Macaca fascicularis: one gene and its partners. The protein of the gene in region 2 interacts with the protein of the main gene of each other region in a pairwise test. Links are inferred from orthologs where the notes say so. Each region holds a gene or a part of one and is shown on either strand. Other genes may lie near its edges. The genes, in order: OTUB2, REL, NGB, CDKN2C, IL36RN, EXOSC1 and MAGOHB.

Region 1 (3,430 bases), on a different chromosome or scaffold from region 2:
CCTGGTAAGTCACTTGTATTAAGACAGCTAACCTTGAGCTTTTCCTCCCCCGCAGAGAGGCACTGCCCCTGGTAAAGAGAAACCAGAGGCCCCATTTTTCTACAATGCAATGTCAACATAGGCAGGACCCTCCTCCAGTTGAAGAAACAATTCCAGAGAGGGCAGGTAACCCACCCAGCCTCACAGGGAACTGTCAGGGGCCCAGTTAGAAAGCATTTGATCCTCCATTAAAATAAATACTAAAAATACCACCAAGTTACCACAGTCCATAATGGGTAGGCCTCGTTCCAGGGGCTTTGCCCAAAAGGCTGCACATTTTCTTGCTACAGTCTAAATTGCTTAAAAAATTGAAGAGCCGGAATGTTCCATTCAGAATGCAGTCCCATTAGGTGACAGGTTCCACTGCATGGCCTAAAATTAATCAATGTTTATCGGCTGCATAAAGGATGTTGTAGTGGGATGTTTTATAGAGCAGGTAAACGGAAGGGGTGGCGGCCTCAGGGAACACGTGGTGGTTCAGGGCGGTATCCATCTCGTCCACGTACTCCACCTGCAGGGCGATGCTCAGGGCCTGGGACAATGCCGTGATCTGGATGTGGTCACACTCTGTGGCCATGGGCTCCACTTCCTGCAGGGAGCCAAAATGAAAAGAAACCAGCTTAGGAGGGAGGCCTGGCAGAGGATAAGTGAGTTCAACTCTGGCTTTCAGGGTCATGGTCACAGCCTCTGTGCTGGGACATCATCTTCACAACTTCCCATGAGTTGGGTATGGACATTCTCATGTCACACAGGAAACAGCCTCACTGAGAGGCAGCACAGCTAGAAATCGCTACAATGGCAAGAATCGAACCTGGATCTTTTCCATTCTAGACCTTGTTGTTACACCTGAGAGCAGGCTACTACTTTAGACGGCTCTGGAAAGGGGGCAGAAATTTTTCAGGTTGGGCATCGAAGAATCTTAGAGATAAAAGGCACCCTGACATCCAGGGGTGCCTTTCAAGCTTAAGTGTTTGCAGAGGCCAGGCTGGTGAGTGAGGGTGCCAGTCCGGATGCTGCGGAGACGATGGAAGAGGCAGAGGCGGTGGCAAGCAGGCGTGCGTCCCACATAGAGAGGGCAGCTGCTGCTTAGTGCCTGCTGATACTGTCCTGCACGAGCAAGGGCCTGGGGGCTGGATCTTCTGATTTGCCAACAGAAATCCAAATATTCCTATGAAAAGTGCCTAATTTTCAAATATTGGCAATTCTTTCGGGTAAATACCACGCATCATAAACACGTCAAGCAAATGTAACTCTTGGACTGTGACTCTGCGGTTTTGTAAACAGGCCAGTCCAAATCCCTTATTTTTCAGATGGGAAATCTCCAGGGAGGGAAGTGCCTTGCTTCAGGCCACACAGCTCAGGCAGCTCAGGTGAGACCTGTCTGCAGCTTGCTGACCTAGCTCTGTTTGAATTGCAAGGGCAGTCGTGACACCCAAGTCCCTTGGCTAGAGATGGGTGCTGCAGTCTGTGGGAGAGGGCCACAGGAGCAGAACCCGGGGCTGGGGCTGAGACCCCAACACCTACATGAGTGCAGAAGTCTTTGATGTCCATCTCCTCATCAATGAAGTGCCGGAAGAAGTCTGCTCGGTTTCTGATGAAGGCCGATGTGAGCAGGCGCAGGAACTGCACGATGTGGTCTGAGGCACTCTGGTCGTTGAACACCTTCAGCAGGCTGGACACTGAGCCGTCTTTCTCTACCAGTTCCACCACACTGTAAAACTGCGCCGCCCGGCCCTCAGCTAGGGAGGCCAAGCGAGCCCCAGCCCTCCCTCTGCATTCTCCCTCCGCTCCCTCCCTCTGCGTGAAGCCCTCGCGTGCATTTTCATTTGTAGATTCTCAGGTTGAAGTAGAAAATCAGTCTGAGATTCTGCCTAAGCTAAGTAACCCAGGGTTAGCAAGACTTTGTACACTAGGCCAGAGGCACGTCTAGGGAGCGGCAGTTCGGTCTCCCTGCCATGACTACCTGGGTTTGCATTCTCACATGCACACTCAGAGTGGCAAGCGTCAGAGTCCTCGATCCCACCCCTTCACTAATTGGATAGGGAGGCACAAGGTGGAGATGGAATAGGGTGGAGGACGTGCCTCCTCCCAAAGGGAGGGCAGGGCCCTGGGCTCCCTGTGCCCACACACCCCCACAAGCAGGAAGCAACCCTCTGTCCTTCCCCAGCCCGGAGAAGCAGAGCTGTGGGCTGTGCGGGGCTCCAACCAGTGCCCGCTCCTGTCTGCTCTGCCAGTGTGGAAGGAGGGACTAGGTGAACTCACAGCATTGAAGAAGTTTCTGAACTTGTGCTCCTCAAAGCCAGCAGCCAGAAGGTCATTTGGGGTCTGCAGTACACGTTCTTTGAACCTACAGGGGGGTAGACTGAGTGTTTACAGGGAAACACAGCGAGTGTGCTGTGATTGTCAACTGTGCATCCCCCTCTCAACCCACTGCGCCCACCAACCTCATCTCTAGTCCCCGGGCCCTGGTGACTGAGCTGCATTGTGTGTGTATGCATGGTAGAAAGACGATATGACAAGGGCGTGTGTGATTTTGCATCTTTTCCAACTCCCTACTCAGTGACCTCATGAGGGCAGCTTGACTCACTCATGGTAATATTGAATACTGACACCACAGCAATCGACTGACAACACACACCAGGCCTCCCGCACGCCCAAAGCCGGCTGTTAAGCATCTGCCAGCACCAAGTCACCCTTGGGGACCTGCTCCACAGGCCTTTGCTCTGTGCATGCTGGGTTGTTCCTCTCTGCACCCACTGCAGGCCCCCTCATGGCACAGCCCCTTTCTGGGACCTGTCCTGGTACCCTCAGGGAGCATGGCAAGAAACCCAGGCCTGGGCCTGGGCCTGGCCCTGGCTCCAGGACACTCCAAGTTTAGTGGCAGCAATGAGGTATGGAGGAAGGGCTGCCTCCCACAAGGACCAGGTGAGCGGCCCTGGGTGACTAGCTGGCAGGCGCAGAACACTAAAGCCACACCTAGTTCTCCAGCCCCTTACTTTCCCTAGGAACGGAGACGAGGCTCTCACAGGACCCAAGAGGCGGCAGGTTTCACAAGGGAATACAGAGGCCTGGGCCACCTCAGAAGTTGCTGTGCTCCGGAAAAGCCTAGTGCCTTGTAGGAGGACAGGGGGCGGTGAGGAGGGAGAAGGTGGTGGGTGTGGACGGGAAGCCAGTCTCCTAACTCAGAAGTAGGAGTGTTTGCCTAGACGCCGCTTGCCCCTGGCTGGTCCCGGCATATCTAAGAGTCCTGCCTGGGCCAGGACTAGATTGTCCTGATTGCGGAGTGAGGTGCCTGGATTGGAGGGATGGATCCTGTGCTGACTTCTAGCCACAGTCCCCTCCAGCCCTGTCAAGTCTCCCTGTGGCTTTTGGCCATAGGCTCCCCTTTGGC
Region 2 (4,542 bases):
TATGGTGGATAGGAAAGGCAGGGGGGACAATGGACATGTTAATTATCTTGTGATGATGATTCCAAGGTTGTATAGGTATGTCAAAAATTATCAAATTGCATACTTTAAAAGTGCAGTTTGTTGTACATAAATTATATGTCAATATGTCAATAAAGTTATTTAAAATATATGTAACTTTACTATTTTTTATTATCCAAATTGTGGGGGAAAAGGTAAATAGACACTCAACTGTACTTGCAAGTAGGGGAGTTAATAGAGGTGTGAAGATGTTTTCCATTAAAAAAAAAAAAAAGGGTCCCTTAATCAGTTTAGTGCCGACTAAGGCTTCTCCTGTTAGAATGCAAGCAATCCTGAGAAATGGTAACACAGTGGGCCTTATCAGAACAGTATGAAGAAGAGGCCTCTGGAATCCTACCCCATCTACTTCCTAACAGTAAGACCACAGAAAAGTTATTAAAATTAAAATCTCTTAGTTTCCGCCTCTGTAAAATAGGAATAATCATAATAGCACCTACCTCATTGGGTTGTTGTGAAGATTACAGATTATACGTGCTAAATTCTTACCAAGTGTCATATATACATATATGTTCAATAAATGGTGTCTATTATTTCAGATGCTTTCTTGATAACAATGATTTAGTGATACCATGGTGGCATCACAACTGTCACTCTAAAGGACCTTACAGAAGAGCAAGGCGAACAACACATATTATTAGACTACAGAAGGAAGGAAAGCACTAACAAAATTTTGTGGAAATAAGAGCGGAAGAGTCAGGAACGCCCAACTGTGTCAGTGGAAAAAGAGCGGTTAATGAAGCAAAAGAGTGGGGGAAATAAAGAGGAAAAAGTTAGGTATTCTAGGGAAAGGGGAACAATGTGTCCACAGAGGAGGGTTTATTTAAGAATCACCAATGTTTGTAAGTGGAATACACTTCCTCTCTTAGAAAGAGAACTAAAAGTCAGAGCACACTTGGCAATGTGGATTTCATTTTATGTGTGATGAAATCAATGAATAATTTGATGCAGGCAAATCACATGATCATATTTACGTTTTAGAGTAAAAATTTTAAGCGGGGCACAGTGGCTCACGCCTGTAATCCCAGCACTTTGGGAGGCCGAGGCGGGTAGATCACGAGGTCAGGAGATCGAGACCATCCTGGCTAACACGGTGAAACCCCGTCTCTACTAAACATATAAAAAAAATTAGCCGGGCGTGGTGGTGGACGCCTGTAGTCCCAGCTACTCAGGAGGCTGAGGCAGGAGAATGGCGTGAACCCGGGAGGCAGAGGTTGCAGTCAGCCGAGATCGGCCACTGCACTCCAGCCTGGGCAACAGAGCGAGACTCTGTCTCAAAAAAAAAAAAAAATTTTTGGTCACAGCAGACAGAAAAAAGAAAGCAACGTGATCAGTTTAGAGACCACTATAATAATGTGGGCAATGATGACAGTATGTCTGATATATGGCAGTGATAAAAGGAATGAAAGATTATTTAAAAGATAAAATTGACAGCACCTGGTGCCTGAACATTAGGGTTAAGAGAAATTAAAAAATCACTGATGGCTCAGAAATTAAAGAATCATTGATGGTTCCATGGCTTCTACTTTGGGTTACTGAATAAAGTATTACCATTACTTTCAATTTTATTCTGTATGGTGCAAACTCTCTGTGCTTGAATCTACTACCTATTTGTTTATTCAAAAGATGAAGAGTCAGAGAAAACTGACTTTAACCCATACATAATCCTTATTTCAGTTTTACTCAAAAACATAAGATATGCAGATGAGTATTTCACAATTTTATCCTTGCATATTTCAAATATTTCAAATTCATACTGCAATTTCAAATTTTTTTTTTTTTTTTTTTTTGAGACTTAGTCTCGCTCTGTCATCCAGGCTGGAGTGCAGTGGCGTGATATCGCCTCACTGCAAGCTCCACCTCCCATGTTCACGCCATTCTCCTGCCTCAGCCTCCCGAGTAGCTGGGACTACAGGCGCCCGCCACCACGCCAGCTATACCTGGCTAGTTTTTTGTATTTTTAGTAGAGACAGGGTTTCACCGTGGTCTCGATCTCCTGACCTCGTAATCCGCCCACTTCGGCCTCCCAAAGTGCTGGGATTACAGATGTGAGCCACTGCGCCTGGCCGCAATTTCAAATATTTCATACCCTTATATATCCTTGTAGGAGTATTTAAGAAAGAGTATATTTTCCTCTTAAAAACTGTTAAAATCAACATTATTTTTTAAGTGACATTTTAAATAATTTATGTGGCTGAAGTAAAAGCCAAATAAATCCCCGCCCACTACTTATTTAAAGGTGTCTTGGTGGGAAACTGATATAAAATGACATCGTTGGCCGGCACGGTGGCTCAAGCCTGTAATCCCAGCACTTTGGGAGGCCGAGACAGGCGGATCACGAGGTCAGGAGATCGAGACCATCCTGGCTAACACAGTGAAACCCCGTCTCTACTAAAAAAAATACAAAAAACTAGCCGGGCGAGGTGGTGGGCGCCTGTAGTCCCAGCTACTTGGGAGGCTGAGGCAGGAGAATGGCGTAAACCCGGGAGGCGGAGCTTGCAGTGACCTGAGATCCGGCCACTGCACTCCAGCCTGGGCAACAGAGCGAGACTCCATCTCAACAACAAAAAATAATAATAATAAAATAAAATAAAATGACATCGTTAATAAGTGTTTAACTTTGGGAGGGGAAGAGTATGAATTAAAATTCTAGGTTCATAGTGAGCATTCAAGTATTTAACTGAGGCTGGGCATGGTGGCTCATACCTGTAAACCCAGCACTTTGGGAGGCCAAGGTGGGTGGATCACTTGAGGTCGGGAGTTCCAGACCAGCCTGGTCAACGTGGTGAAACACCATCTCTACTAAAAATACAAAAAATTAGCTGGATGTGGTGGCAGGCACATGTAATCCCAGCTACTTAGGAGACTGAGGCAGTAGAATTGCTTGAATCCAAGAGGCAGAGGCTGCAGTGAGCCAAGATTGCACGATTGTACTCTAGCCTGGGTGACAGAGCGAGACTCCATCTCAAAAAAACCAAAACCAAAACCAAAAACAAAACAAAACTTCATTGGTTACAAGACACTTCTTTAGATTGTTTATTAAAATGTCTATTAAAAGAACAGAAAAGTAGTTGTTGAAAAGATTAAATAAAATATTTTTAAATAGTAAAAATTATATAAATATTGGTTATCATATAATATTGAGTATTTAAAATCCTTGGAATTTATTTTTCTTATTGCAGAAGCTCTTAATTGGTAAAAATTAACAAGCTGGGGGAATGTAGAGTATTACAACCAAGTAACAGAGTATATTGTAATGCTCTACATTCCCCCAGCTGGAAATAATCTCCCCTCCTTTAAACTACCATAGTATTCTGTTTATAGTAATTATTCCAAATAACTGTAATTTAGGGAAAATTACATCTTACCATCTTATTAAACTTACCATCTTATTTAATTAAAATTAAACTTACCATCTTATTTCTTCTTGAGATAAAGCTACTTGTTTTATTTCTTCAAGCTACTTGAAGGCAGAAATTGTGTTTTACTCATCAGTGCCTTGTATACAGATATTCATTAAACACCTATTGAATGAATGACTAAAATATCTTAAGGTATTTTGTTTATACAAGTTACTCAAACGTTAAATAATCATGTATGTGATTAGTCAGATTTTTTAATTAGATTCCACTACCAAGGGAAAAAAAAAAATAGTGCTTTGTAGGTACCAGGATTGCTACACCTCAGCATTTCCTCATACTCATTCATATTTCGATTTATCTGTGTTTATGATTTTTAAAAAACTTCCCAGCTATAAATCATTTATATAATGCATCAGTACAATGCACCAGTTATTTCCTTCCTCAGTACTGTGCTTTGCGCAGTGCCATTCTTCCTGAATATAAAATGTGCTGAAAAGTAGTCATCTATGGAGTGGAAGAGGGTAAAATATAAATCAGGAAATTGTAGGGAAAATAAGTACTCTTAATTAAGATAACCTCAAATCGCCACAGTTTTGAAAAGCACAAAAACGTCTCCAAAGTTGGCTCTAAACAAGTTGATTACTGTATTTTTCTTTAAGCAATACTATGCAAAGTTGGGACTGACCCCTATATTCTGAAGAGTATTTTAAAAGGCTAATATACATCAGAATAATATCTGAAATACAGTCAAAATGTTTGTAAGATATATTTATGTTTTTATTTGCACTTAGGCAAGAAAGAGTGCTATTTTAAAACATAGTGCCTATTTAATAAAGTATGAGTTTTTAAGATAAAAAATTACATTGCAATAAATGTTTAAATGGATCATAAATTATCAGAAATAGACACATTAACTAACATCTTATTGCTAGAATGAGCAACCAGCATCAAGTATATAGAACAAAAAGTTAATTATTGTAATTACAACACTTTTGAAAGACCCTTTTATATACATTTCTCATTTGATCCTCTTAACTTTAATCTCCATTTGAAAAACAATAGAAATTATTATCCCAACTTAAAGATGATAAAACTAAAGTTGAAA
Region 3 (4,219 bases), on a different chromosome or scaffold from region 2:
TCATAGTTCTAGGGTTGTTTGATACATAGCACTAGGAAATTGAGCAGACCAGCTAATCCCAAAGGCTCCTTAACTTTTATGGTTTTAAAAGAAGCCATATCAGAAAAGAGAACTTGGAAGCTCAGAGAGGTCAAGCCCATGTCAGGGCCACACAGCAGGTAACAGATGCAGGCCCACAGCCCTGGTTATCTAAGGATATGGGAATGGGAGACAGAACAGGTGGCTAGGGGAAGTCTGGGAGAGAGAAGTGGCCCCAGGCCAGGAGCTCTGGAGAGAGTCAGAGCTCCTTTACCCACCGAGAAGGAGCTGAGCTTCACACCCACTGCCCGGTGCTTCCTGCCCAGGCTGGCAAGGTACTCCTCCAGTGAGGACAGGTCTTCCACATTGGTCACCGCAGCATCAATCACGAGCATCACCTGCCAAGGCCAAGGCAGCAGTGAAACAGAGAGGCTAAAGCAGCCACATCTTCTCACAATCACAGCCCAAGGCATGAGGGTCCCAAAGCAAGAGAGGCCAGCAGGACCCTCAGTTTCCAGGATCAGGGGTCAAAGGCAGCCTGTGTCTACTACATATAGGGGGCACATGATACATGGTGGCCAAACTACTAATGTTACACCCATGAAGGAAGCCTCTCTCCTCTGAGGAATTCACGTCTCTAAACACGCCTACTGGAGAGTGTTGTCTGCCGGGACAAGGAGAAACTGAGGCCCTTTGAGAATCATGAGATTCTAAGAAAATCTCAGCCTGGTTTTCATAGGCAGATGGTTCCCAATGACGAGGATCTGTGCTAACACAACCTATGGGAGCCAGGGGACAAAGGCAATGACAGAGGCTGGGACCAGCTCTCTGAACACAGGGTAGGGAAAGAGGCTGATTTTGATGTCCCAGACCAATCCAGTCCAGAGGGAAAGGAGCTGATACCCTGCTTGGGGGAACAGGAGGGGAGTAAAACTAGGCCTGGGGCAGAAAGTCATTTTCCCCATTCTCCACCAGGGAGGTGCTTTGCTGGATCCCAGAGGTCACAGAAGCTCTGCCTCCCTCTCACCTTCCTGATGTGGTCCAGGAACTCAGGTGAGGAGAGACAGTCCTCTGGGCTGGAGAACTGGCGGCAGTTGTACTGGAAGAGGGGCAGCAGGTCAGGCTCCAGGGCAAACAGTCTGTGGGGGTGAGGCCCAGGTGTTAGCCCTGAGGTGTGAGCCCCTGCAAGCCCCAGCAAGCCTGGCTGTCCTGCAGTCAGAGAGCGGGGGTGCCGAGCCGGGTCTCAGCTGCAAACCACAGCAGACTCTCCCACCTGGCACTGCTCCCTAGCCAGCTTTGGTAGTGCCCTCCTCCTCACACCTACTGGCTCTGGGCAGCATCCTAGAAAGGGCAAATGTGTCCCAGGGCCTCTGGCACGCAGGAGCCCCTCGATGAATAGCTGAAGGGTGTGATTTGGGACAGGAAGATGTCCCCAAACAGGAAACCTGGAATTACATTGTGTGGAGAGCGCTCGCTCGCTCTCTCTCTCTCCCCCCCACCCCCACCCCCCTCCCCGTGCTGAGTACTTTCCGTGTGCTTAACTTTTAACTGTATTCCTCACCATCCTAAGCAGTGGGTACAACTGTTACCCCAGTTTTACAGAGGAGAAAACAGAAGCCCGGCGAGGCTAGAACTCGTCTAAAGTCACACAGCTTGGATGTAGTGGAGCCACAGCGGGTGCCCGAGAAAAAAGTGAGCTGGGGGAGTCTGGAGGCAGAAGCAGAGGCTCTCCTTGGCATTTGGGAAGTCTCACCGGGTAACTGAATTTTTTCCCCTTTTGTATTGGGGGCGGTTTTGCGGAAACCTGGGCAGAAGTTCTGGGCTGCCCGAGGGTGCCAAGGATTGGGAACACCACGGTGAGGAAAGCAGTGCTAGGTTGTTGATGGCGGAGGGGTTACCGAGACGGCGAGCTGAGGTTGGAGACTGGCCTTCCCTTCCCCCCGGGGCCTGTGCACCCGCCTGTGCACCCCCCAACCCTTCTCCCCTGCGGTGAGGCTCCCGCATCTGTCACCCCTTCCCCGGCGGCTCTCTGGCTCTTTCCTCGGAAAGGTTTGTCTTGTTGATTGTCAGGAATCCACACACCTGGAGCCAGACAGCTCACACATGGGCGCAGGAGCTCGCCCCGCACACCTCCCCTCCCCGGCCCTCGGGGCACCCCGGCCCTCGGGGCACCCCAGTACCCTGATACCTGCAGCGGGGTGCACCCCTGCAGTCACACGCAGGAGGCACAAGGCGGGGTGGAGGCCCCGCGCGGGGACGGAGGTCCACCCGCCCAGATGTGTGGAGATCCGCGGGAGGAGACCCCGCCCGGCCCGGTGAGCCCCGCTGGGAGCCGGGTGTGCGGAGCTGGTTGGCAACAGGCGCCCACGGTTGAGAGAGAGGCAGAGGGGCTGTGCCATCCGTCGCCGCGCCCCGCTCCTCTGGCGCACATCTGGCAGCCGCCCCAGAGCCCCGGCAGCGGCCAGTTTTCCCTCCTTCGGGGCCGGTCCTGCCGCGTGACCCCTTTCCCGCCGAGGCAGCCTCCACCCGCACCCCCGGGCGCTTGGGCCGCCCTCACCTGGCGAACAGGACGGTGCCGTGCTCCAGCGGGCTGCGGCTCACCGCCCGCCAGCTCTGCCGGATCAGCTCGGGCTCTGGGCGCTCCATGCTGTCCCGGGGACGCGGGGCGCGGGGCGCGGGGCTGGGACCCTCGGGGCTCGGGCGCCGTCACCTCACATGCCGCGCCATCTCCTCCGCGACGGGCCCCTCCGCCCCCCGTACGCCCCCCGTACGCCCCCCGTGCCTCCGCCCGGCGGGGGCCGCAGCCGCTCCTTTCCTGGCGCGGGAGAGAAGAGGCGCACGGCCACAGCCGTAGGTGGAGGCACCCCAGCTGTGCTTCCGGGGACCCCGCTCGGCCGCTGCGCCCGGCGCCCCGCAGCCGCGAGAGCCGCCCCGCCCCGCGACGCCCGGGCTGGGCGCTTTAAAGCCGCCGCGGCCCCCGCCCCCTCCAGGCCAGCAAGGCGCGCGCTCCCTCCGCCAGCCGCTCTGGCCAGCGACGACCTGGTGGCCTGCGAAAGGCCCGGCCTGCAGAACGTAACAGACATCGCTGAGGCTCTCCAGGCCTCAGTTTCTCCTCCCGAGCCCCGAGGGCACTGTGTTGAATTTGGTCGCCTCAGGTAGGCGCTGCGTGCGCCCCCTCTCCACAGGCCCCTCAACTCACGCATTGCTGGAGGCATTTGAGTTTGCCACCCACCTGGCCTGCAGGTCAGGCCTCGGAGGCGGCCTAGGGGCCTAGTTCTCGGTCTGACTAGGGCACCAGCACACGTTGGGGACCACCAGGGCTTTCAGCCGTAGGGACAGGGCCAAGACCACAGCCATTCCCAGCCAGGCCTGGGTTTTTCTGAGACTCCATCTTTAGAAATCCCTGAGATCAAGTTCTAATCCCAGCTCTGCTTGGCCAGGGTGGAAACTTAATTCTAGCTCTGCTTGGCCAGGGTGGAATCTTGAGGGAGTTCAGCTCCAACATTCTACCATTCCATGATTTAATTTTAATTTTAATTTTTCACCTCTCCCCTCCCTGGGCCCTCCCCACTTCCATGATTTTTAATCTTTTTTTTTTTTTTTTTAATGGAAGTACTGTTTAATTTTTCAGTAGAAGTTCAGATGATAGAATCCATGCTCCTCACTCAGGGTGTGCAGTTGGCCAACTGTCAATTAGAACTAAACTTTTCTGTTTCAAAGCAGAAGTTCTTCAGACCCCAGCCCAGTGCTGGTGACCCAGGTTAGGGAGGGCAAGCCCATTTCGCCTTTATTTCTCTCTCATTATTCCCTCAGGGGTCTCCAAGCCTATCTCCTCTGTCTGTCCACACCTCTCTGGGCCTGTTTCCTCAGTTGTGCAGCAAGGGGGTTGGGTGGCGAGGCCTCTGGGGCCTTTTAGTCCACCTCCTTTGGGTCCATGGATAGAAGGTGGGTATTCCCGAGTCCCCGGTTATGAACAGCTGGGGCTCCATGCCCAGCCCTGTGTTAGACATGGAGTGGTGAGTCCTGGTCTTGAAAATGTCTCCTTCTGGCCCTGAATCAGAACTGAGTGCCTCAGCAGAACTCTTCTTTCCTGCTCCCAGCCATGCCCCAGGAAACCACGTAGCTGTTCTCCCTCTTCCAAGGACTCAGGAGTTTGTGGTATCCCCTATTCTATTTCCCATTTCCTCACAAATCTCTGGGC
Region 4 (4,270 bases), on a different chromosome or scaffold from region 2:
AAATGTTTGTCAAAACTTTTTAAAAGAATATTATTAATTTCCCAGTCTTTCTGTTCGTCAAAAATCCTGTAAAATCTTATTATGAACATGGGTTAAGTAGCTCATTCTTTGTGAAGTTTATATAATCTTTTGAGTTTTCAAAAGGAAGCTTTTCAATATATTAAATTTGTTACTTTGCTATCATCACTAAACCTGTTCAAAACTACTAGGTAGAAAAAGAAAAAAAATCATTACTTAATGTAGCAGAAATAACAAGATAAATAATTTAGTATCTGTGCATAAACTTCCTTAATACTGAAATTTTTGCAAGGCCAGTGTATTCTGATTGAAAACGTACAGACTACATGGACTTTGTTTGTTACTAGTATATCTCCTGGCACTTAAATTTTTAATTCTTGTAACCGAAACAAAGCCCTCTAAAAACCCTCTCCCCAATGGGTTTTCAAAAACAGCTTCAAGTGTTGCATTTCCAAATAAGAATAGCTCATAAGAATATCATCAGAACTCTGATAAATTAACTATTTTAAACTATTTTGTCATTTTTCTGTTTCTAAGCCTTTCACCTAAATTACATGATAACATTCAGAAGAAGAAAAAAATTATCAGGTACAATACTTGGCAGCTGGACATGTGTCAATCGTTGCCTGTAAATCTAATTACTGAAAATTAGAGCACACCACGGCATAATCGTAGAGACAAAGACACTGCAGCTGAGCTCTGATTAGAAAATTCAACTTTTTATTCCTCCCGACTCCTGAATGAGTGGATGGTATTACATTAACTGTGAAATGTACATCCTGTCCCGGTGCCCAGGCCACCCATTCCAAACGAGGAAAAGTCGTTTGTCAAAACTTGGAGCATTTGAAGGAAAAACACCCTCACCAGTAGTCAAGAAAATTAACGTTAAAGTCTATTACTGGGGGCAAAGTACGTGAAACCACTAATAGCAGTGTATTTCAAATAATAATCATAATAATGTGTTTACAGAGCTGTCTTTAAAAACAAAACAAAACAAACAAACCTCGGCCCTACAATGACTACTCTAAAATCCCCACCGTCACAAAAAGATTCCAAAAACTAAGACCAAATCTGGACCCCACTTGATATCAAGGATGTTATTGGATTTGAGGAGTTTGTTCAAAGTACGTCATTTTGAGAAGTTGCATCCACTTAAAGATATAAAATATGGCAACCAACTAGGTTTAAAAACAGTGAAATTTTATGTCCCTGAAAGCTTAAAAGCTGTAAATCTAGAAAACCGGGTCACGTAGGCAACATTATTGACTTGTTTTCCCCACCTCTCTGAATACCAACCTGCAGCGCGGTCCTTCCAAATCCATTTTGTGCATTGACGTTTACATTATTTTGCAACAAACTAGTAAGTTGCTCTAGGTCCCCCCTGGCAGCTGCGGACGCCAACTCGTTCCCCCAAGGCTCGGCCATTCTTTAGGGTCCTGACGATCAGGAAAAGATGAATTAGTCGTTTTTCTTTTTTCCCTTTCCTTTGCTCCTAACCAGGCTGCATGATGGCATCGGAGACTGACAGAAGGACTGGGATGGTTAATCTGGAGTAGAGCTTGGTAGTAAATACTAGTAAGATCTGCCTGCCAAAAGCCCGCCCCTCGATTCACACGTGATTATTCAGCAAAACTGAGCCATTGGAGAGGGGCTCCTCGCCTCGCTTTTTTAGCTTAACCCCTATGAAGAATTCTGACGACTCCACAGAGACACACACAGACACACATACATTCCTGGGTAATGACTCCGGACGTCAGATGTAGGCAGAGCTGTCACGTACCTACGCTACAGATCTCTGTGAGGAGTGTGTGTGGACACTCAAGGGACTATAGATCGGGGCAGAAAATACCGCGGAAGGAAAGACATTCGGGGGGAAGAAAAGGCATTCACCCACCCTTGTTCACGGTGGTGACTTGAGCCGTGTGAGGCAGAACTGCAGGGGCAGGTCCTCCAGGGGGCTCGGTTTCCATCCGTCTCGCCGAAGGGACAGTCCTGGGTCCTCCGCTGCTGGGAGAGCGCCGCGGTGGCTGGATGCTGACGTGCTCCGGGGGGTTAAAAGATGATCGCCAAAGGCGAACGGGAGTAGCAGTTCCGTGGCCCTCAAGTTACAGGTCGTAACGACTGCCCAGTACTCTGGGCTTCTCCAGAAGAGCGTTTAGTCGCGTCCGGGCCAAGTCGTGGGCTAATGCCGCTCAGGAAAGCTCCGGAGCCCGCCCGCCAGGCAGCCGCAGCCCCGCCGAGCCTCAGAGGCCGTGGGAGCCGGGCTCGGCGCGCGTCTCCGGAGGCTGCCGGGCGTGCGGCGGGCCCCCGAGAAGCCCGTCATGCCGGCCCCGCCAGGTCCCGGGACTCCCGGCAGCCTGAGGAAGGAGGAGAGCGATGCGGGAAGCGTCTACGGGGCCCGGACTGCTGGGGCAGCTCGCGGCAGCATTGCGGCTGTACTGGGCAGACCCCCGGGAACTTCCCGCCTACGACCGAGCTCGTTCAGGCTTTCTGTTGTAGGTACTCATTGAGCTGCTGCCGCCGCTGTCCTTTCCTTCCTTTCCCGGTTTTGTGGGAGCCTCCGGAGATGGGGAGAGTCCTGGGAAACGCAGGCCAAGTTCTGAGTAGGGGGAGTCGCCACAGTTCCAGGGCGCAGCCAGACCCGCCGCCGTCTCGGCGAGCGCTCAGCAGCTTCGGCGCCCGGTGCCACTTCGCCACCTCTCGCGGTCCCTGGCCGCCTGTGCCCCTTTGCTGCGGACAGGGCAGCCGCCAGCCAGCTGTGCCCTGGAGCCGAGCCTGGCAGCACTGCTTCCTCCCTGGCCACACCGCTCCCAGTGACAGTTTCTTTTGTAGCTGATTCCCCCCTAGATCGCCGGTCCCTGCTCCTTTCACCCCTACGGGCACTTGCGTGTCGCCCCCTTTTTTACTTTTTTCCTTCACTCCCTCCCTTGCTGCTTTTTTCGCTGAAACAATTGCTGCTTCTGTTGCCTCTCAGAGAGGGTGCCGGTTTCTTCTCCCTTTTTTCCGACCTCATCAGCTTTTTTTGAAAAGAAAAAAATTGAGCGCTTTTTGAGTTGAAAAACCCGCCCCCATTTTAACGGCAGAGTTTTAAGGAGGCTCGGCGGAGTTGCAGCGCCGCGGAAGCGGGAAGGCCGGGCACCGCCCACGCCCCGCCCTCCGCCCTGCTGGCGCTCGCGCTCGCAGTCTAGCAGGCTCCGCCCTCCCGGCCCCGCGCACTCATTCCCGCCTCTAGCTCTCCACCTCCTCCCGTCAAGTCTCTTGCGCTGGCTCCCTCGCGCCGGCTCTCTCCCGCCGGCTAGGCGGCCTGTCCCCAGCTGGAGCGGGGTTCGGCCCCGCGAAGCCCGGCCTGCCCTTCTCCGGCGGGCGGGCTTGAGTCTGTGACGCGAACCCCCAGCTGCCCCAATTCCTACGGGCGCGAGGACAGGGGTTTGTTATTTAAGACGCTGTGGAGGGCGGCGGAGTCTTCGAGGCTCCGCAGCGCAGGCTGCGGGAAGGCGGAGAGCGAGCTGGCATAAAGGGAGTCGTTCTCCAGCGCTAGCGGGGCAGGTCGGCCAGCCTCTGTGCTCCCCCGCCAGGCTCGCAAAGTTCGGGCGGCCAGGCTTGCGGCTGCTGCTGCCTCCTCTAGGGCGCGCGCGCTCTGTAAACTCGGCCTCCTTCGCTGAGCCCTGGGCCTCGGCCTCGCACCTGCCAGATCCACGCCCGACGGCCGCGGTGGGCAGGGGTGGCCGCGAGGGTGGAGGGAAAAATCCGGACTGCCACTAAGCACAGTGCTCACAAAAAGCAAGTCTTGTATAGATTGAATTTTATGAAAACTTAAGACATGGCATAGATAAGAATGAACTCTGAAGCCTTAATCAAGGACTAGAAACTGCTAAATAGTCCTGTTATTAGAGAAAAAGGAGAAAAGCAATTAAATTTAAAGCAAAATTTAAAATAAGTCGTGTGAAGTGTTTTCTAACAAAGCTATTTCTTTGTTGCCGAAGTTCTCTCACTACTTAGAAATGGCTTGGTGTTTTGGGGGTGTGGGGTTGGGGAGGGTGTCTATATGTAAAGGAATGGTCTCTCTCCTAATCCTTTATTTAATCATCCGACACGAATTTCCAGTACTTTTAACTTCCTCTTTTAAAGTGAGATTAATTAACTATTGCTTTCTATATTTTTATACTCTTAAAAATATCCAACACGGTTGCATGATGCACCCAGTGGTCAAAATGAAACCAAGCAAAAAATGACAAGTCTAATTAGAACCGGA
Region 5 (4,532 bases), about 41 Mb from region 2:
TTCCACCCTGGACGCCCAGGATGACGGGGGACAGGCTGGCATCCAGCCACCGATTGGGGACCACGCTGATCTCTTCACCTGTGGGAAGGAGGCCAGATCAGGGCCCTGGATGCCTTTCCCTCCTTCTGCCACTGGCCTGGGCTCTGGGGCACAGGACTGCTGTGAGACGGCCTGCCCCCAGGCTGGGCAGAAGGGAGGCCTCTCAGCAGCTGTCATGACATGGCCTCTCCTGTCCACTGGCCCAGAGCGGACATCAAGGCATGGAAGCACATTGTACCACCTCCACCCCACCCTCTAGTTCAGGGTCAAATCTTCAAGCCTCTATACCCCAAAATAGATGCAACCCCCTCCTTTAAAAAGGTCCGTTGGGTCTCAGGCCTTTTTCTGAAGCCTGTCTTGATGAGCCCCCCTTTGGAGTTGTTTGGACAACTTTCTACACCCTGTGAGGCTGCTGAGAGCAAAAGAGGGTCTCATTCCTCTCTGTACATCCCCTCACCACCCACATACATCAGACACATATATGCACACCCCAAATACACACACAGATACATGCAGGCACACATATACATATACACACATGCTCACACATTCATACCTGCATTCACACATACATGGTTATGCACAGATACATTCATGCACACATATGCTTACACATATATGCCTCCATGTACACGTACATACACCAGTAAGCACACACATACACATATGGCCTAGCTGAATATCTACCTGGCATCTGTGCTCAGCAAATGTGCGCCAGGTGGGCAGGTGTGAACTATTTTAGAGAGGGACCTGTTGCAGTGCGTGGGGCAGAGTGAGCAAGCAGGAGGTCCAACAATGCCACCTGTTCTCTGGGTCCCTCCCACTCTGAGTGACTGAGGATCTTCAGAGAGCAGAGGGGACCCAGGGTGGAGAGGCAGAAACTGACTCCCATATGGGAAAAAAGGTGTAGAGAGTTTACTTTAGTTCTCTGCTTGGTACTGGCTCCCAGGGAATGCAATGCTTGACCTAAATCCACCTGTAAGGGAATGACAAGACAAGCCTCTTGGAAAACATTCCCACTTCTGCATAGAAGCTTCAGGTGGCCCCAGAGCCTGTGTCTTCCCTTTGCTGAGAGGTGTGGTATTTTATTTGCCTTTGCTTAGAGGCTGGTTTGTGCTGCCCGAATGCCTGGGCTCTGTAGGCCTGTGCTCACCTGTATGACTATTCTAAGCCCTCTTCAGGCCCCCTCCCTTCAGAGTGTATAGAGACCAAGGAAAGTGGGTCATGTTTCATCACCAACCTTTAATGACCTTCCCTGCATGCAGCCCTCCAGCTAGAAGCTGGTTATTATGCAGATAAAGAACCTTCAATGCCGAGTCCTTCATTCTGAAACATCAGGAAGGGGTGAGGACTACATTAGGGGGAGGGCGTACACTCCAGTATGCCTTCGGTCCAGAGAACTCCCTGATCTCAGGCATTTTGTCTCTTTTTCTTCCTACTGTGCCAGAAGTAACAGCGCAGCCTTCTCTCCCAGCCCTGCTGGGCTCATGCCCTACCATGAGGATGACCCCACAGTCTCCCACTGGGGTCTGTGGTTTGCTTCTTCACCCTATTCCACCTTTTCTGCCCCAACCCATCTCCTATTGGAAGAAAAGCTGCACAGTGAGTCAGAGCCCTAGGTTCTTGCCCCAGCTCTGCCTCCGGTGCTGCTGAGTCGCAGCAGACAACTCTCTCGCCCACTCTGGGCCGGAGCCTCCCCATTGCTAAGATGATGGGTTGGATAACACCCAAGCTTCTTCCAGATTAAAGCCTGATTCTTCAGTTCTTCAAGATACATGTATTTCTATTTGGCCATATATTCCTTACTAAGTGAGGAGTTTCTTTCAATTTAAATTTCTTTTATTTTACTTTTCAAAGTTGTTTCTCATCTATGAACTAAGTTCATTTCCTGACATCCTACGAGGAGGAAGATGTATCCTAAAGTGGGTTTCTCCAAAAGTTATATGGGGGAAAAGGAGGCAGTATAAAAACTGGGTCGATACATGGCTAAAGATGATTCAACAAGTTGCCTTACTTCAGAAAGTCTCAGAGTCACTCATATGCTGAGCTGTACTGTGGTTCTCTTATGAGAGGATGTAGAAAGGAGAATTCCCTGCATTTACTTGATCAGAGAGCTCTACTGTGTAAAGCATCTCCTGGATGCCTCTATGGGCCTCCTCTAATAGAGTCCCATAGAACACATTGTGGGAAGTGCTTTATTAGACTGAGAGAAAGGGCCACTCTCATCCTTTGTTGTAAAGCCCAGAGCACGGCAGTGTGTCTGGCTTGGTACATGCCAGTGGGTGGACAGACTGACTGATGGTCATGGGTTTTGTTTTATTTTTATCCCCAAAGAGCAGCAGGGCAGTAGGAGCACAGAGTGGGTGAGCTGACATTAATTCGCTGTGCTGGGGGTCAATGGCGGAGCTTTGAGCTGGGATCCTGGCTCCCTTTCCCACCTTGGATAGACTTGGCTGCAGCTCTAGACTGGGTGGTTCACTTGTCCCCCTCAGCGTCAGGGAACCCTTGTGAGATGGCTTGCCCCAGTCCTGGCCCTATTTGAAAAAGGCTGGGAAAACTTCTCTAAGAGTAGTGAGGTGCTGGTCACAATTTCCCCGCTGCAATGGCTGTCCCTCCCTTCCTCCCTCCTGCTCAGAACTGGACAACGGGTCTATCCAGAACTCACTTCCCCCAGAGGACCTCCGAACCAGGGCCTCATACACTCACCGGAAGCACAGCGCCCCACTCAGGACCATCTTGAGCTCCACAGGGTGTAGACTCCCCTATTTTGGAATAAACAACAGAAAATCATGGAGAGAGAGGCTGAGTTGGCTGGGGTCTGGGGAGCAAGAAGCCACACCAAGCCCCCCAGCATGTGAACAGCTTCCACAGAGCAGATTCTGGGTCTGGGATAAGGAGACAGCTCCGGCCCCACCAGCGCCCCAGAGCATACCTCAGAATGTTCCTTTCTCCCGGCAGGAACTGTGGAGTCTGCTTGTTCCTGCAAAGATGCCTCAGCCTTTTAAGTAAGGCCTAGGGAGGGGCCCTGAAACTGCCAGGACCTGAGGAGGAGCAGGATTCCCAGCGTGATTTCATACCACCCTAAGTCACCAGACACACTTGCTCCTCATTATCTGTCGTGGGGAGGGAAGCTTCTGGAGACAGTTCCTTCCAGCAATTTTGAAGAACTTCCTTGAGGCTTTCCAGCTCTTTGTGAGCATTCGGCTTTTGCATCTCAGGAGCTTCCAGACCCTAAGAGTCAGTGCCCATGGCAGCTCAAGGAAGGCTTGACTTTCTTTCCTGCCTGCCTCTCTCCCTTTCTTCCTTCTCTCCACCTTTCATTCACTCCCTCTCTCCCTCTTCCCTTCCTTTCCTTCTTTCCCTCCCCATTTCCTCCCTTCCTCCCTCATTCCCTTTCTTCCTTACCTTTTTCACTCCTTCCTTCACTCCTTCCCTTCTCCCTCCTTCCTTCCTCTGTCTTTCCTGCCTGCCATTGCCAGGCCTACAGGAGATACTGGAGGTGGGACTCTCCTGCTCAGGGAATGTTCAACCTACATGTTCATTGTAGAAAAACCTGAAAATCCAGATCAGCCACAATGAAAAATGTGAATACTTGTCTTTTCTGAGTGCATCATCAGAAAACCAATGAAACACTTTTTCCTCCCCACACATACACGTGTAACTATAGACAGCTTTCACACAACAGATTCACAAAACCTGTACTTTTTCCAACCTCATTTTTTCATGTAGCAAAATAGCAAAATATCTTTCCATATTAAATATGAATGATGACATGCTTGAATAGCTGTATAGTATTTAATTGTATCACTGTAACATTATTTATTGAAATTTATCCACTGTTATTTGTCTTTCATACATTTTTCTCTTTTCTTTGCTATTGAAAATCATGTTGTGACAAACATCTTTGTATTAACATCTTTGCTCATGTATCTGATTATTTCCTTAGGAAGTAAAATCTAGCTCATGCCATCTATAATTCTGTAAGTGATCTTTCCTGAATACCTAATTGATAAGATAATATGTAATTGTGAAACAGTTAATGCAGTTTAAATACCTCCATGCACTCTCTGTGATGGATCTGAAATAAAAGTAAGAGTCAGTGCACAAAAAACAATTTAATTATATCTTGAATAACACGGATGAGTATTTATTAATAATTTATTGTTAAAGCATACATTTTAAAGAAATGGTATTCAGACATATGAGCCAAGAGGTCCTACAGGTGATTGAGAATAAATAAAATATCAAGTTGTTCAAAAGACAGAAAATAATCTATGATTTTCACAATGCCACTAATAAGATAGACAGTTTTCAAAAAATAAAATTAATGTAGAAACTGCCTTGTACAAAATTATTAAATTACAAATTGACCAAATAGAAATGGCAGTTGAAATAAGATGAAATGAGACAAGCCTGGCCAACATGGAGAAACCCTACCTCTACTGAAAATGTAAAAATTAGCCGGGGTGGTGGTGCACATTTGTAATCCAAGC
Region 6 (3,745 bases), on a different chromosome or scaffold from region 2:
TTTCTCTTGCCCATTTTTCTTTCTTCTTTGTGCTTTGATTCTCCCCTAGTAGTATCCAAAAATATGTGGATGAGCTAGGACAAAAGGAAAATATTAACAAGAGAGGGTTTAAAAGTAAAGCAAAGGCTGGGCACAGTGGTTCATGCCTGTAATCCTAGCACTTTGGGAAGCTGAAGCGGATGGATCTCTTGAGATCAGGAGTTTGAGACCAGCCTAGCCAACATGGTGAAACCCCGTCTCTGTAAAAAATACAAAAATTAGCCGGGCACAGTGGCTCACACCTGTAATCCTAGCACTTTGGGAGGCCAAGGTGGGCAGATCACAAAGTCAGGAGTTTGAGACCAGCCTGGCCAATATGGTGAAACCACGTCTCTACTAAAAATACAAAAACTAGCCGGACATGGTGGCGTGTGCCTGTAATCCCAGCTACTCAGGAGGCTGAACCCGGGAGGCAGAGGTTGCAGTGAGCCAAGATCGCGCCACTGCACTCCGGCACAGGGTACACAGCGAGACTCCATCTCTTAAAAAAAAAAAAAAAAAAAAAAAATTAGCTGGGCATGGTGGTGCATACCTGTTGTCCCAGCTACTTGTGGAGCTAAAGTGGGAAGATCACTTGAGCCTAGGAGGCGGAGGTTGCAGTGAGCTGAGATTGTACCACTGCACTCCAGCCTGGGTGACAAAGTGAGACCCTGTCTCAAAAAACAAATAAATAAATGAAAAGTAAAGCAAAAAGAATTGAGTGAAGCTGAAGTTTATCAGTGTCAGGATGACTCAAACCAAAGTGGAAGGCATTCTAGGAAGCACTTTTTAAAAATTTTAATATAGATTGAACTCAGAGGTTATAAAACATTGAAAAGATTTGTGAGTGAGACGGTGATTTCCTGTGGCTTCCTTGAGAAAGGACAAACATTTCTTGCCAGGCAGATAATCTAACTTTTGAGGCCCTTTCCAGCCTCAGGATTTGATGTGGTTCTGTAGTGCAGCAATCTCCAAGCTTCTTGGCACCAGGGACCAGTTTCTTGGAAGACAGTTTTTCCACAGACTGTGGTGGGAGTGGTTGCAGAATGATTCAAGTGCATTACATTTATGCTGTACTTTATTTCTATTATTATTACACTGTAATATATAATGAAATAATTATACAGCTCACCATAATGTAGAATCAGCGGGAACCCTGAGTTTCTTTCCCTGCAATTCGATGGTCCCATCTGGGGGTGATGGGAGACAGTGACAGATCGTCAAGCATTAGATTCTCATAATGAGTGGGCAACCTAGCTCCCTCATGTGCACAGTTCACAATAGGGTTCATACTTCTATGAGAATCTAATGCCCACTTTGATCTGACAGGGGGCGGAGCTCAGGCAGTAATGTATGTGATTGGGGAGCAGCTGTAAATACAGATGAAGCTTGCCTGCCACTCACTTCCTTCTGTGCAGCCCGGTTCCTAACAGGCCACCAGAACTTGGGGACCCTTGCTATAGTGCTTCTGTTCAAGCCCTGAGGCAACAAAACTCCTTATCGTTTCTTGCCAAATCTGATCTGCCTTTATCTAATCAGGTATTGATACTGCTGCTCCGTGTGGTCTGAGGATGCTTCTCCACCCTGCTCCTCTGAGTAGCAGCTGGGTCCCAATTAAGACTTGTTCTGTCTGTTCTTGTAGCTCTTTATTTACTAGGAATCTACAGAATAATTCTTTCTCACAGGCTGGGCAAGGTGACTCATGCCTGTAATCCCAGCACTTTGGGAAGCTGAGGCGGGTGGATCACCTGAGGCCAGGAGTTCAAGACCAGCCTGGCCAATGTGGTGAAACCCCATCTCCACTAAAAATACAAAAACTAGCCGGGCGTGGCAGCACATGCCTGTAATTCCAGCTGCTTGAGAGGCTGAGGCACGAAAAATGCCTGAAGCCAGGAGGCGGAGGTTGCAGTGAGCCGAGATCGTGCCACTGTACTCCAGCCTGGGTGACAGAGGGAGACTCTGTCTTAAAAAAAAAAAAAAAAAAAAAAAAAAAATTCTTTCTCACAGATAATTAATCTTTCTGTTAATTCTTTTTTTATAGCAAGGAAGATGTCCGAGCAACTGAAAAAGACAAGGTTGTTGGTTGGTTCTCTTTTTTTAACGGCTTTACAAATCTCAATCCCTTAAAAGTATTATCTCAGACCAGGCATGGTTGCACACACCTGTAATCCCAGTACTTCGGGAGGCTGAGGCGGGAGGATCACTTGAGGCCAGGACTTCAAGACCAGCCCTGGCAACACAGTGAGACCCTGTCTCTACAAAAATTTTAAAAATTAAAAATTAGCGGGCATGGTGGCTCATGCTTGTAGTCATAGCTGCTTGAGAGGATGTGGCTGGAGGATTGCTTGAGCCCAGGAGTTTGAGGTTATGTGGTGGCACAAACCTGTAGTCCTAGCTACTTGGGAGGCTGAGGCAGGAGGATCCCTTGGTCCAGCAGTCCAAGGCTGCAGTGAGCTACCATTGCATCACTGCACTCCAGCCTGGGTGACACAGTGGGATTCCACCCTTAACAAAAAAGGGCTGGGTGCGGTGGCACACACCTGTAATCCCAGCTTTTTGGAAGGCCAAGGCAGGCAGATCACGAGCTCAGGAGTTCAAGACCAGTCTGACCAACATGGTGAAACCCCATCTCTACTAAAAATACAAAAACTAGCCAGCGTCATGCTGCGCGCCTGTAATCCCAGCTACTCAGGAGGCTAAGGCAGGAGAATCGCTTGAACCTGGGAGGTGGAGGTTGCAGTGAGCCAAGATCGTACCACTGCACTCCAGCCTGGGCAACAGAGCGAGACTCCATCTCAAAAAAAAAAAAAACAACAAACAACTTTTCATTTGTATGATAATACTATAGAAGCAATTAAAAGTTGTTGACTTGACATGAGTAATGATGATTTCTACCCTCCAGGATTAGAAAGTAGACTGGCTTTACCAGAAGGGTTCACAGTTTCATATAGACCCAGTCTAGAACTTTCACTTACCATTCCTGTTCTTTCTTTACAGGTTGAAATTTATAAGAGTTTCCGCCCAGGTGACATTGTCTTGGCCAAAGTGGTATCCTTTATTCCCAGCAGACTTCTGGGTTTTTGTCAAAAGAAGAGATGGAGGCTGGGCGTGGTGGCTCATGCCTGTAATCCCAGCACTTTGGGAGGCCAAGGCGGGTGGATCACCTGAGGTCAGGAGTTCGAGACCAGCCTGGCCCAACATGGTGAAACCCTGTCTCTACTGAAAATACAAAAATTAGCTGGACGTGGTGGCGCATGGCTGTAATCTCAGCTACTCGGGAAACTGAGGCAGGAGAACCGCTGGAACGCTGGAGGCACAGGTTGCTGTGAGCTGAGATCGCGCCACTGCTCTCCAGCCTGGGTAACAGAGCAAGACTCCGTCTCAAAAAAACAAAACAGAGAAAGTAGAAAAACAACTCAGCTGACTAAGGTTGGGGGAAGACTTCTAACTCCTCATTTTCCTTCAGTGTTATGTGACTAGATCTCCCTAGGTGATGCACAGTCCAACTACCTGCTAACCACTGCCGAGAACGAGCTGGGAGTAGTGGTAGCCCACAGTGAGTCAGGTGAGATGGCCTTGCTTCCACATCCTTACTTTCCCTGGAGCTATGGTTTGGGATTAATCCATTGTTTTTCCTGGTTTCCCTTATCTGGGAAGCAGTATGGCTGTAGATATTTCCTTCTGAGATTAGAATGATTTTTTTTTTTCTTCTTTGCTTGGTGCCGGT
Region 7 (4,539 bases), on a different chromosome or scaffold from region 2:
GAATCTGCAAAAGGCACTAACATTCAAGTTTGTTATATGTATGTATTGGTGTTAAGTGCGTTACACAGAGAATTTAATCTAATCTGTAAAACAATCCTAAAAATCAGGTTTTATTCTCTCACCTATTCATAAGAGAGAAAACAAAGTTAAGTAACTTAAACATGGGAGATTCAGACCTAGATCTACTTTCTTTTAATACTCAGGCTTTCTCCACTACAAAAAAATGTTCCTTTTTTTCCTTCAAATGTATGCATACAATTATACTGTAGACATTTTAGAATTATGACTAAGAAGGATACAAACGATGCTTCTGGATCGAAGTTGATGAGTTTGTTAGCTAGTTTATATTTAATTTTAATCCATCATGATTTGTGTATTATCTGATGTATGCTTCCCCTTATGGCTAGTCAGTTGCCCAGACACAGCTATAAGGTGCAGCAGTTACTCTAAAATGATAGAAATGCCAGTCTTTGATGGCTTGGCGCCAGGCGTAGTGGCTCACGCCTGTAATCCCAGCACTTCGGGAGGCCGAGACAGGTGGACTACCTGAGGTTAGCAGTTCGAGACCAGTCTGGCCAACATGGAGAAACCCCATCTCTACTAAAAATATGAAAAAGTAGCCGGGCATGGTGGCACATGCCTCCAATCCCAGCTACTCGGGAGGCTGAGGCAGGAGAACCGCTTCAATCCAGGAGGCAGAGGTTGCAGTGAGCTGAGATGCACTGCAGCCTGGGTGACAGAGCAACACTCTGTCTCAAAAAAAAGAAAGAAAGAAAAAAAGAAAAGAAAAAGAAAAAGAAAGAAAGAAAGAAAGAAAGAAAGAAAGAAAGAAAGAAAGAAAGAAAGAAAGAAAGAAAGAAAGAAAGAAAGAAAGAAAGAAAGAAAGAAAGAGAGAGAGAGAGAGAGAGAGGAAGGAAGGAAGGAAGGAAGGAAGGAAGGAAGGAAGGAAGGAAGGAAGGAAGGAAGGAAGGAAGGAAGGAAGGAAGGAAGGAAGGAAGGAAGGAAGGAAGGAAGGCAGGCAGGCAGGCAGGCAGGCAGGCAGGCAGGCAGGCAGGTCTTCGGGAGACTCAATATTACCAATAGAAGAAGTATGTGTAACAGTGCAGTGGCAGATACATTGATTAGAACCACTGTTCTAGCATAAAACTTCCCTGATAATATTCAGGTGCTTAATTTATGTGACCTGCTAAAAGTAATAGAGACAAGCTTGACGGTGTTCACAGGCAGAGGAACTGAAAATAATACTACATAAAGAATAGATGAATTCAGGTAAATTTAGCTGAATTTATGGGGAGAGTAAGGTCGAATACAGTGATTAAGGTTTCTAAATAATTGCAGGGCTGGCACGGTGGCTCATGCGTGTAATCCCAGGACTTCGGGCGGCTGAGGCTGGTGAATCTCTTGACCTTAGGGGTTTGAGGACAGCCTGGGCAACATGCGGAAACCCATCTCTACAACAACAACAACAACAACAACAAAGGAGATGGGCGAGGTGGCACTGGCCTGTATTTCCAGCACCTCGGGAGGCTGAGGTGAGGGATCACTTGAGCTTGGGAGGCGGAGGTTGCAGTGAGCTGAGATCGTGCCACTGCACTCAGATCTGAGTGACAGAGTGAGACTCTGTTTCAAAGTAATAATTGCAGGACTGTAGTTCACCTGAGTTCTGCCTGAAATGCTTGATACTCTTCTCCTTTCCTAATATACGTTTCTCCTCTAATTTTTTATTCTTGCTCTCACAGAACATTGTCCAAAGCCTGCTTATTAATATACCTACTGCTTTATAGTTAAATGTCTGTGTCCCCACCAAGACAAATCTCTTTGAGTTAAATTTGTCTTACTCATTAGTGTACCTTCAAATTTTGTATTTGCTTGTTGCCCAGCAAAAAACGTGCATTTAAAAAAAACCAAAACATATATATCCAAATGAACTTTCTTGTTGCAGGTAGGCAGGACCAATGTAACATTCTCTAATAGCGCTGTCAGAAAACAAATTGTTGCACGCTACTGGGGTAGCAGTTTCACCTCGTCCTCTGCTCTCACTGCTCTGGAAGTCTGTTTTTTTCTCTCAAAGGCCAAGTCTCTCATTTCGAGACTCATCTCAAGAGTGTCTTCCTCTAGGAAGATTTTCCTGACTCCCTCCTGTGGAACTTTACATCTCCCCTCTTTTTTGGTACTCTTCATGCGTCCTGTGGTGAACAATTATACGTAGACACCTAAAACATATTATTATTCTCATTTGTTAACACGTCGGGCTCCTCCCCTTCAAAGAACACACACAGCCTGAATGAAGAAAAGGTACTGGTCACCACAAGATTTTATTCATCCATTGGACCACCCGCTGATGGGGGTGTTTTCAAAAAAGTGCTAGCATTTTTAATCCAGGTCAACAATCTACAGAGTCCCTTCTGGTGCAGTTACAGAATTCTGATTACTGTAAGTTCGACTTTTCAGTTTGCGACAGGATTAGCTTTAATTTATTGCAATTAGTTCTCTTTCATTTATAAAACCAACTTAGGCCTCCTCTATTCTTAAGCTCCTATTTCCTTCGAGGGAAGCAGTGGCCTCCGCCCCCTGTACCCTCCACACCACCCGGCCTCCCCTCGCCTCCTCCACGGCCTCTCGGTCTCGCTCCCCTTTCCCAGCACCGCGTGCCGTGGGCCTCTTCTCACCGTCCGGCCGAAATTCGAACTCCAGAAACTCGTGCCCAAACTTGCCCTTGTGCCCTACGTAGTAGCGCAGGTAGAAATCGCTAGCCATAGCCATTTTTGTCCCCGGGAAGCCCGCCGAAAACCCAGCCAACGTGTCCCCCGGCGCCTTGTAGTCACGTCATCGCGCGGAATAAGTGCGTCACCACAGGCGCTTCTCTTCCGCCTGCCTTGCAGCCCTGGACTAAAGCGTGAAAGCCGAGTCTCGCGTGAGAGGCCAGTTGGTGCTGAAGGGAGAGTCGCATGCCGTGACTTTCTCTTTACTAGGATTGGAGGCACATTATTTTCAAAATAAAGATCACATTATATTAGCAAATATTAGAAATGTGAGCATATGATAGTATTTTTTATCGACTTAGAGCTAAATTAGGTTTGCAAGTGGCTTTTACTTTTCTGGTCTCCCAGTCCTCGGGGCGTTTGTGAGGTGGGTGTGGCTCTATTCCCCCTTTAACTGGGAGCTAAATAAAGATAAAGCTTAGAATAGAGATGGCAGACCGGGAATATAAACCATTTTTCTTACTTGATTTCGAACAGGGTGCTTTCCCCTTTGAATAACGATTGGTAGTTGCCCCGGACCTATAAGCCTATAATAATAGAGACAAAGTCAAAGGAATCCATCACAGCAAAGAACTTAAGAGATCTCATTTGATCTCTCAAGAATTCTGTGAGCTTGGCAATGTAGATTGCTGTATATGCCTTAGGCTGAAGAACAAACAGGCTTAGAGATAGTCACTAGCCCGAGGTTAGGTAGCTGTAAGTGTTGGGATTGAATCCCAGGTCTTCTCACCACCACTTTCTACTAAAAATCACTGACGGTAATTTCAGTGGGACAAAACTGGCTTAAAGTCTTAAAACACACACCCCCTACGCCTGAAAAACCCTGACTGTCACCGTGCTGTTTTTTAACAGCAGAACTTCTATGGTTCTTAATTCATTCAGTAAGGGTTAACTTTTAGTAGCCTGTGGAGTTTTGGCAATTTGACTTAAGATACAACAATGGTTTAGCCCATTACTGTTTCTCGCCAGATATAATTAAATTGGAGGAATGAAAGAATGCTCCATTGTGGCATAGTTTTTAAGGTAAGGGAAAGACTTTTACACAAAGTCTGCTTTTTAAATATTATTGATCACCCTTTTGTTATCAACACACAGAGTAATCCTCTCTGCTGGTTGACAACCTTCAGTGATTTTTGTAGAAAGTGGTGGTGAGAAGACCTGGGATTCAATCCCAACACTTACAGCTACCTAACCTCGGGCAAGTGACTCTCTAAGCCTGTTTATTCATCAGCCTAAGGCATATACAGCAATCTACATTGCCAAGCTCACAGAATTCTTGAGAGATCAAATGAGATATGTAAAATAAGCTTTAAATTTTATAAAACGTTAGTTTTAACAAACATTTCCTATGTGACAGTTTGAAACTAGAAATAAAAAGGCATTTGCACTGGTAGTCTAGAAAAGAAAGCAAACTTGTAAGGCAAATATTGGCACAATGGATCAATTGCTATAATTAAGAATATATGTGCCATTCTGGCCAACATGGTGAAACCCCGTCTCTACTATAAATACCAAAAACTTAGCTGGGCGTGGTGGCGTGTGCCTGTAGTCCCAGTTGCACGGGAGGCTGAGGCAGGAGAATCGCTTGAACCCGGGAGGCAGAGGTTGCAGTGAGCTGAGATGATCCCACCGCACTCCAGCCTGGGCAACAAGAGCGAAACTTCGTCTCAAAAAAAAAAAAAAAAAAGGAAAGGAAAAGGAAAAGAAAAAGGAGGAGGAGGGAGGGGGAAGGGGAGGAGGAAGAAGATGATACGTGGCCGGGCACAGTGGCTCATGC

Evidence for each region.
Region 1: the proteins of REL (region 2) and OTUB2 interact in binary tests that used the Homo sapiens proteins (3 or more experiments, as listed by UniProt). The two-hybrid records come from large-scale screens. The link is inferred for Macaca fascicularis from reciprocal best matches to the Homo sapiens genes REL and OTUB2.
Region 3: the proteins of REL (region 2) and NGB interact in binary tests that used the Homo sapiens proteins (3 or more experiments, as listed by UniProt). The two-hybrid records come from large-scale screens. The link is inferred for Macaca fascicularis from reciprocal best matches to the Homo sapiens genes REL and NGB.
Region 4: the proteins of REL (region 2) and CDKN2C interact in binary tests that used the Homo sapiens proteins (3 or more experiments, as listed by UniProt). The two-hybrid records come from large-scale screens. The link is inferred for Macaca fascicularis from reciprocal best matches to the Homo sapiens genes REL and CDKN2C.
Region 5: the proteins of REL (region 2) and IL36RN interact in binary tests that used the Homo sapiens proteins (3 or more experiments, as listed by UniProt). The two-hybrid records come from large-scale screens. The link is inferred for Macaca fascicularis from reciprocal best matches to the Homo sapiens genes REL and IL36RN.
Region 6: the proteins of REL (region 2) and EXOSC1 interact in binary tests that used the Homo sapiens proteins (3 or more experiments, as listed by UniProt). The two-hybrid records come from large-scale screens. The link is inferred for Macaca fascicularis from reciprocal best matches to the Homo sapiens genes REL and EXOSC1.
Region 7: the proteins of REL (region 2) and MAGOHB interact in binary tests that used the Homo sapiens proteins (3 or more experiments, as listed by UniProt). The two-hybrid records come from large-scale screens. The link is inferred for Macaca fascicularis from reciprocal best matches to the Homo sapiens genes REL and MAGOHB.

What each region holds. Positions count from the first base shown.
Region 1 is NC_088381.1:162,059,255-162,062,684, reverse strand, and holds part of OTUB2 (ubiquitin thioesterase OTUB2), read right to left. Parts: intron 2,387-3,430; coding exon 2,302-2,386; intron 1,759-2,301; coding exon 1,564-1,758; intron 629-1,563; coding exon 422-628; 3' UTR 1-421. UniProt on the Homo sapiens protein: Hydrolase that can remove conjugated ubiquitin from proteins in vitro and may therefore play an important regulatory role at the level of protein turnover by preventing degradation.
Region 2 is NC_088387.1:61,082,533-61,087,074, forward strand, and holds the start of REL (proto-oncogene c-Rel), read right to left. Parts: upstream 2,967-4,542; 5' UTR 2,873-2,966; coding exon 2,782-2,872; intron 1-2,781. UniProt on the Homo sapiens protein: Proto-oncogene that may play a role in differentiation and lymphopoiesis.
Region 3 is NC_088381.1:145,214,606-145,218,824, forward strand, and holds the start of NGB (neuroglobin), read right to left. Parts: upstream 2,952-4,219; 5' UTR 2,665-2,951; coding exon 2,576-2,664; intron 1,158-2,575; coding exon 1,046-1,157; intron 417-1,045; coding exon 297-416; intron 1-296. UniProt on the Homo sapiens protein: Monomeric globin with a bis-histidyl six-coordinate heme-iron atom through which it can bind dioxygen, carbon monoxide and nitric oxide.
Region 4 is NC_088375.1:183,769,824-183,774,093, forward strand, and holds the start of CDKN2C (cyclin-dependent kinase 4 inhibitor C), read right to left. Parts: upstream 3,015-4,270; 5' UTR 1,913-3,014; intron 1,455-1,912; 5' UTR 1,444-1,454; coding exon 1,315-1,443; intron 1-1,314. UniProt on the Homo sapiens protein: Interacts strongly with CDK6, weakly with CDK4. Inhibits cell growth and proliferation with a correlated dependence on endogenous retinoblastoma protein RB.
Region 5 is NC_088387.1:20,067,986-20,072,517, reverse strand, and holds the start of IL36RN (interleukin-36 receptor antagonist protein), read right to left. Parts: upstream 3,016-4,532; 5' UTR 2,972-3,015; intron 2,802-2,971; 5' UTR 2,775-2,801; coding exon 2,746-2,774; intron 1,366-2,745; coding exon 1,280-1,365; intron 79-1,279; coding exon 1-78. UniProt on the Homo sapiens protein: Inhibits the activity of interleukin-36 (IL36A,IL36B and IL36G) by binding to receptor IL1RL2 and preventing its association with the coreceptor IL1RAP for signaling.
Region 6 is NC_088383.1:106,390,033-106,393,777, reverse strand, and holds part of EXOSC1 (exosome complex component CSL4), read left to right. Parts: intron 1-2,059; coding exon 2,060-2,093; coding exon of another isoform or gene 2,094-2,100; intron 2,101-3,015; coding exon 3,016-3,066; intron 3,067-3,498; coding exon 3,499-3,583; intron 3,584-3,745. UniProt on the Homo sapiens protein: Non-catalytic component of the RNA exosome complex which has 3'->5' exoribonuclease activity and participates in a multitude of cellular RNA processing and degradation events.
Region 7 is NC_088385.1:10,340,030-10,344,568, reverse strand, and holds the start of MAGOHB (protein mago nashi homolog 2), read right to left. Parts: upstream 2,826-4,539; 5' UTR 2,764-2,825; coding exon 2,670-2,763; intron 1-2,669. UniProt on the Homo sapiens protein: Required for pre-mRNA splicing as component of the spliceosome. Plays a redundant role with MAGOH in the exon junction complex and in the nonsense-mediated decay (NMD) pathway.